Linked DNA regions of Macaca fascicularis. The protein of the gene in region 1 purifies or fractionates together with the protein of each later gene. This does not show direct contact. Links are inferred from orthologs where the notes say so. Each region holds a gene or a part of one and is shown on either strand. Other genes may lie near its edges.

Region 1 (3,811 bases):
TCATGTCCCCATAGCCCCCTCATGTCCCCATAGCCCCCCTCATGTCCCCACAGCCCCCTCATGTCCCCATAGTCCCTCTCATGTCCCCACAGCCCCCTCATGTCCCCATAGCCCCCTCATGTCCCCACAGCCCCCTCATGTCCCCACAGCCCCCTCATGTCCCCATAGCCCCTCTCATGTCCCCACAGCCCCCTCATGTCCCCATAGCCCCTCTCATGTCCCCACAGCCCCCTCATGTCCCCATAGCCCTTCTCATGTCCCCACGACCCCCTCATGTCCCCATTAGCCCCTCTCATGTCCCCACAGCCCCCTCATATCCCCCTCTCATGTCCCCACGGCCCCCTCATGTCCCCACAGGCCTCTCACCGGTTGTTGATCTTGTTCTTCTCTACTTGTTCACTCTGGCGCTGGTTCCACTCCTCCAGGTCTTTCTTGGCCTTCTCCCGCCATTCCTGTTCTGTCACCTTAGATGCAGCATCTAGGACCCCACAGAAGAATGAGCGGCTGCTTTCCAGCTGGGATGCACAGGCCTGGCCACCCCGGCTGCTCCTCCCCTGGCCCCTGCCAGGCAGCCTCAGGGCCACACCGGCCCAGTCCCACATTAAGGCATGCAGGGTTCCATGCACTCCGAGGACTCCCCACACATTCCACCCCACACACAGCCCACCCAGCCAACCCCGGCCCAGCCCCGCCCTCACCCAGCTCTTGCAGCCGTTTCCTCTGCTCCTCTCGCCACTTGCGGATGCTCTCAGGCTCCTGGGTCAGCCTGTCAGCCTGGGCAATGGCTGCGTAGCCATCAGCAGGACCGTTGGCCTCCTACAACACAAACACGCAGCAGTCTATCCAGCCAGCACACCTGCCCCACTGTCTCTGCTGCCCCTGCTGGGGACTCGCTCATGTCTGGATAACTGGACCTCAAACCACCTCATACCCACCGTCTCCGGTGACTACACCTATCTTTGCACTTGCTGTTCCCTCTGCCAGCAACACTCCACCACCTGTGTGACTGCAGGCAACTTACTCACCCTCTCTGTGCCTGATCATTGCCTCCGGCCCAGTCATAGGCTTTGATACCCCCCAAGCAGGAGACTCAAGAAAGCGTGTGCCAGCTACTTTCTTTGTCATAAAATGGGCTAAATAACAGTATGCACCCTGATGGGAGGACATAAGGATGAAATGAGTTAAAAATTATAAAGAACACTGGGCGGGTGGCTCACACCTGTAATCCCCGCACTTTGGGAGGCCGAGGCGGGCGAATCACCTGAGCCTGGGAGTTCAAGACCAGCCTGACCAAAATGGAGAAACCCTGACTCTACTAAAAATACAAAAAATTAGCCGGGCGTGGTGGTGCATGCCTGTAATCCCAGTTACTCCAGAGGCTGAGGCAGGAGAATCACTTGAACCTGGGAGGCGGAGGTTGCAGTGAGCCAAGATCGCACCATTGCACTCCAGCCTGGGCAACAAGAGCAAAACTCCGTCTCAAAAAATAAATAAATAAAAATAAAATATAAAAATACTGCTTGGCACAGTGAGTCCCTTATGTTACTGTCATTAAAATCTCTATTGTGGTTGTATCAACTCCTAACAGTCCAAAAAGACCTCACTTTTTTTTTTTTTTTTTTTTGAGACGGAGTCTCGCTCTGTCGCCCAGGCTGGAGTGCATTGGCCGGATCTCAGCTCACTGCAAGCTCCGCCTCCCGGGTTCATGCCATTCTCCTGCCTCAGCCTCCCGAGTAGCTGGGACTACAGGCGCCCGCCACCGCGCCCGTCTAGTTTTTTGTATTTTTTAGTAGAGACGGGGTTTCACCGTGTTCGCCAGGATGGTCTCGATCTCCTGACCTCGTGATCCGCCCATCTCGGCCTCCCAAAGTGCTGGGATTACAGGCTTGAGCCACCGCGCCCGGCCTCTCACTTTTTTTTTTTTTTTTTGAGATGACGTGTCCCTGTTTCCCAGGCTGGAGTGCAGTGGCGCGATCTTGGTTCACTGCAACCTCTGCCTTCCAGGTTCAAGCGCTTCTCCTGCCTCAGCCTCCTGAGTAGCTGGGATTACAGGCGCCCATCACAATGGCTGGCTAAGTTTCTCCATGTTGGTCAGGCTGATCTCGAACTCCTGACCTCAAGTGATCCACCGGCCTTGGCCTCCCCAAGTGCTGGGATTACAGGCTTGAGCCACCATGCCCAGCCCAAAAGGACCTTACTTTATAATGTGTTTGTCTGTCTCTGCCATCAGGATGTCACCTCTGTCCTTTTCACTGCTGTGTCCCCAGAGCCCAGCACAGTGCCTGGCCCAGCAGATGCTCAGTAGATGTTTGTTGAGTAGAGAAGAATCCCTGAGATATGCAGCATGATCATAGCTCAGATCACACCATGGGGAAGAACGTGGACTCTGCAGCCTGGCTTTCTCGGTTCAGATGCCACCTCTCATACTATGAAATGTTTGTAAGGCCTGGGAGAAATTGCTTAACCTTGCCTGACTTTTGTTTTCTCATTTGAAAAATGGGGCTGGACATGGTAGCTCATGCCTATAATCCCAGCACTTCGGGAGGCTGAGGCAGGAGGATTGCTTGAGGCCAGGAGTTTAATACCAACCTGGGCAATACAGCAAGACCCTGTCACTATTTTCAAAAAAATTTTTTTAATTACAGAAAAAAAAGGCCAGGCACGGTGGCTCATGCCTATAATTCCAGCACTTTGGGAGGCCAAAGCAGGTGGATCACTTGAGGCCAGGAGTTTTTGAGACCAGCCTGGCCAACATGGCGAAACACCGTCTCTACTAAAAATATGAAAAATTAGCTAGGCGTGGTGGTTGCTTAGGAGGCTGGGACTTGGGAGAATCGCTTGAGCCTGGGAGGCGGAGGTTGCAGTGAGCGGAGATCATGCCACTGCACTCCAGCCCGGTCCAGAGTGAGACTCAGTCTCAAAAAAAAAAAAAAAAGAAAAAAAAATGGGAATAGACCAGGCATGGTGGCTCACGCCTGTAATCCCAGCGCTTTGGGAGGCCAAAGTGGGTGCATCACATGAGGTCAGGAGTCAGAGACCAGCCTGACCAACATGGTGAAACCCCATCTCTACTAAAAACACAAAATTAGCTTGGCATGGTGGCCCGCGCCTGTAGTCCCAGCTACTCAGGAGGCTGAGGCACAAGAATCACTTGAATCCGGGGGTGCAGGAGGTTGCAGTGAGCCGAGATCACACCACTGCACTCTAGCCTGGGCAATAAAAGTGAGACTCTGTCTCAGAAAAAAAGAAAAGGAATAATATTAAGAACACCGCTAAGAGCTGTTGTGATTTCATTAATATTTGTGAGACATTTAGAAGAGTGTTTGGTGTGGAGTGCTGGCTCAGTGAATAGTAGCTAGAATTACTACTATTATTATTCCCATTTTACAGGGGAGGAAACTGAAGCCCAGAGACATGGGACAATGTAGTGGCAGAGCCAGGGCTAGAGTCCAGGTCCCTGACTCCCAGGCAAGGGCTCTGCTCACGTCTCCCCACCCCCCTTGCCAGAGCTGGGGACCCAAAGCGCTGAGGACTATGAGCTCTGCTCACAAGGGTGTGGCACCCTCTGGTCTGGCAAAGCCTTTCCAATCCAGGCCCAGCCACACCCGCTCTGGCACCCACGCCCTCCGCATTCCTGTCTGCAGGCATTCCACTCCAGCCGCCCCGCCTTTGTCTCCTGGGGCTTCTGGCCTGCAATAAGTCTCCCCTTCCTCCTCCTTCAAGCAGTTATCAAAACTGCCATGACTGCCCGTGTTGTTTGACATCTTCTCCCCACAGGAGTGTCTGGCACACCCTCTGTCCTATGGCGCCC
Region 2 (3,811 bases), on another chromosome or scaffold:
CACGCACAATGTTTATCTGCTCAGCAGCATGTCTGGGCCCTGTAGTACCTTTCTTTCTGATGTCCACCTTTGACTTAGTCTAATAGCAGGAATACTGGTCACCTTTTAACACTGACAACCTAACAGGGCTGTCTGAAACCATTAGCAAAGCTGAACTAGCTATTGTGTTCCAACTTATGGAATAAGTTTTAGCATCGTCTGTGGAATATTGCAGGTGAACTGTTTAGATCAGTGTCTTTTCCCAGCTTTACTCCTTGCTCCTACTTTTTCCCATGATGGATAGTTGCTTTTCAATCCCTTTATGTGGAAATTCTCTATTTTTGACACTCAGGGGAACAGGAGAACGACCTAGTTATTTTCCAAGTGTTAGCAATCTTTGTAGTGGTGCATTGTTGTGGACAGACTCTTCCTTGTTCCCAGTGGCTTGTCAATTTCTTCGGCTCCTTGTCGGTGGAGGATTCTGTGGAGTGTCTGCGTGCCATGCTGTCTGCTAACATCAGACAGAACCTTCAGCTGTGTGTGCAGGTGGCCTCTAAGTACCATGAGCAGCTGGGCACGCAGGCCCTGGTGGAACTCTTTGAATCCTTCAAGAGTTATGAAGGTAAACCGTGCAGCCTTTCGCCGACCCCACCACGTGACTACACCTCCTTTCTCAGGTGTTGCGGTCCACCTGCCCGACTTAAAACGACCTTCCTGCAAAGCCAGGCAGGATGCAGCACTCGCTGCCTTGGGTGCTCAGTCAGTGGCAGAATGCGACTGCCATCTCATGTGCACCCTCAGCTTCAGTGTCCTTTTTGGTATTTCCAAAGGAAGAAATCAGGTTGGTTTGTGATGGAGTGGAGAAACTTATGGAGCCCGGTGTGTCTGTGCAGCACAGTCTGGCAAGAATTCATCTAAAAGCCTGTGTCGTGGGTACCATGAAAGGGCCTGATGTCTGGTCTTCACAGCCCCAGGAGGGAGGCTCTGTGGGCCTCTCCTAAGTGAGAGCCCACGATAGAGGGTGCATTGCTTTGTAGTATCTGCTAACCCAGTTGATAGCAGGGGCTGGCGAGGCAACTTGGTTGTCTTCCTTTCCCCTTTTTGGACATCACCCCAAAAGAGTGTTCTAGGGCAATGGGGGTGGGAGTAGCTTTGTTAGGGACAGGTGGGGGCTGTCTGGCCCACCCAGGATAGAGACTAAGCATTTATCTAGGCATCAAGCCACTGCCATGTGTCCGGTGAGGTTGGGGCATCGGTGGAGGGTAGGACAGGACCCTGCCCTCAGGGATCTGGCCTTCTCTTCAGAATACAACACTGTAGGAAAGACCATGGCGGACGATTGAGTGGAGCTGGGCTGGGAAAGAGCAGTAGAGTAGGTTGGTGGGGAACCATCGGCCTAGGGGCTGCCCATTCCCTTCCTAGCATCAGAGTCTCACAGTTACAGTGAAAGACCTCGACAGGCGGGGGCCTTCTCGGATGTACCTATCTTGTCGTTACTGTCCAGAGTTGCAGGCCTCCTCCTGGAGGCCGTGGCTTATTTCTCTCTCCCTTGGCATCAGTCCCACAGCCCTCTCAGATTACCTCAGTGGGAATTACTCTTGACGACGACTATCTAGGTATACCTGGGCCCCCAAAAGGAATTTCACAAGTACCAAATATCTAGTATTTTACATCAAAACATGCCAGGTATGCCTGCCAAATTTGATGGAAATCTGACTAGCTATTTTTGGGAGCTGCCAAAACAGACAGATGGCATATTGATTATGAGTTCTGAGTGGGCTGTGGGTCCACTGGAGAGTGGAGCAGGGTGGGTCCCTGGAGAGTGGAACAGGGTCATCGAGGGAAGGTGGACAGCAGCTACGGAGGAGACCAGGTGGGTGTTGCAAGGACAAAAATGAAACAGTCTCTCTTCATAGGCCTCTTCTACTTCCTGGGCTCAATCGTGAACTTCAGCCAAGACCCAGACGTGCATCTGAAATACATTCAGGCTGCCTATAAGACAGGGCAGATCAAGGAGGTGGAGAGGATATGCCGAGAGAGCAGCTGCTACAACCCAGAGCGTGTGAAGAACTTCCTGAAGGTGTGTTCCAGCACTGCCTCCTTGTGTTCCACAGCTGAATTGCTGATGGCAGGTGGGGCAGACCATCCGCAGGACGTCCCAGGAGGCAGGAAGCTGGATCTGTCTCGCCAGGGACCCCTTAGTCCCAGGGACAGAGCTCCGCCTTATGGCTTAAAGTTCTAGAGGAACCCTTCTATCGTTTTAAGAACGTGGAACGCAGCTTGAGGCTGTGCTCTAAGTATCTGGCACGTGAGTGGAGGGAGTTAGTTTATTGCTGCATTGTAACTCATCAACATCCCATTAGTGCCATTGTCAATTAAGCAGGCAAAGCTGCAGAAACAAGTAGACCACTCAGCACTAGTGTCATAAAGAACAGGAAGCCTGCTTCCTTATGTGGCAGTCCTGGGTGGGCTGGAGGTCAGTGGGGTGGCTTTCCTTCCCGCTGTCCTTCAAGGACCAGGCTCATGGCTGCTTTGCGGTGTTCAGCACCTCACCTGGATGTCGTCTTCCCAGTCAGCTAGAAGACGGGAAGAGCACAGAGGAACCAGCATGGGTGGTTTTTATGGGCGAGGCCTGCAAGTGGCAGATGAGACTTGGATTCACGTCCCCTTGGAGGGAATGAGGTCATGTGGCCACACTTAAAACTTCAAGGGAAACCAGGAAATGTGATCTAGGTATGGGACCACACAAGGGGGAGGCATGATTGTGGTGACCTGTGGCTGTCCTACCCAAGTGCCATCATCATCTGGGAATGGTGCCCAGGTGTGTTTCCATGGCCTGCGGCTGCATGTCTGAAAAGGCAGCCTTTACTGCAGGTGTGCTGTTCTTGAGAATGGCCTGGTTTCTGTTGGGTTTGCACGTAATAAGCTGCTTGTCTTAAAAGATATTTTTGTCCAGATTTGGAATGTTAATGCCACATTTAACGGTCTTTAACCAAATACTATTATCTTTCACTTATTTCCAAAGCAAACACCATACCACAAAACGACAGCCTATCTAGAGCAGTCTCATTCTGAGTCTCCTACATGTCACTCTGCTGCAGAGACAGTGCTGTCCCATATGGGCAATGAGTCCGAGGTCTGGCTGTCTGGTTTCTCCACTCCCTGACTTGTTCTGTGCATTCTAATCCTCAGGAGGCCAAGCTCACAGACCAGCTTCCCCTCATCATCGTGTGCGATCGTTTTGGCTTTGTCCATGACCTTGTCCTGTATTTATACCACAACAACCTGCAGAGGTACATTGAGATCTACGTGCAGAAGGTACTGCTGGCTCCCTGGAGTGACCCACGGCTGCCTCTGGGCCCCAGTCAGTGACAATAGTCTTCACCTCAGAGGCTGCCTCTAACATCTGGCATTTCAGAGACTATCATTTTGAAGGGTGGTGGGTTAGTGTGCTCAGACTGCCAGAGTAGAAGAACACAGTCCAGGTGACTGAAACAACACACATTTATTTCTCACAGTTTTGGAGGCTGGAAGTCCACTATCAAGGTGCTGGCAGGGCTGGTTTCTGGTGAAGGCCGTCTTCCAGGCTTGCAGACGGCCTCCTGGCTGTGCCCCCACAGGGCCTTTCCTCTGTGCATATACATTCCTGGTGTCTCTTCCTCTTCTTAGAAGGACATCAGTCCCATTGCATTAGGGCCGCACCATTGGCATTGATTACCTCCTTAAACACCCTCTTTCCATATAGAGTCCCACTAGGGGTTAGGACATCAGCAAGTGAATTTTGGTGGGACACAGCGCAGTGCTAAACAGGAGCCCTTTCAGGGTTTTGCCC

Evidence for each region.
Region 2: the proteins of CLTB (region 1) and CLTCL1 purify together in Homo sapiens (affinity purification with mass spectrometry; 3 studies listed by BioGRID and IntAct, with this or other methods). This does not show direct contact. The link is inferred for Macaca fascicularis from reciprocal best matches to the Homo sapiens genes CLTB and CLTCL1.

The regions. Positions count from the first base shown.
Region 1 is NC_088380.1:183,287,690-183,291,500, forward strand, and holds part of CLTB (clathrin light chain B), read right to left. Parts: intron 817-3,811; coding exon 699-816; intron 479-698; coding exon 367-478; intron 1-366. UniProt on the Homo sapiens protein: Clathrin is the major protein of the polyhedral coat of coated pits and vesicles.
Region 2 is NC_088384.1:33,619,440-33,623,250, forward strand, and holds part of CLTCL1 (clathrin heavy chain 2), read left to right. Parts: intron 1-420; coding exon 421-601; intron 602-1,895; coding exon 1,896-2,059; intron 2,060-3,171; coding exon 3,172-3,297; intron 3,298-3,811. UniProt on the Homo sapiens protein: Clathrin is the major protein of the polyhedral coat of coated pits and vesicles. Two different adapter protein complexes link the clathrin lattice either to the plasma membrane or to the trans-Golgi network.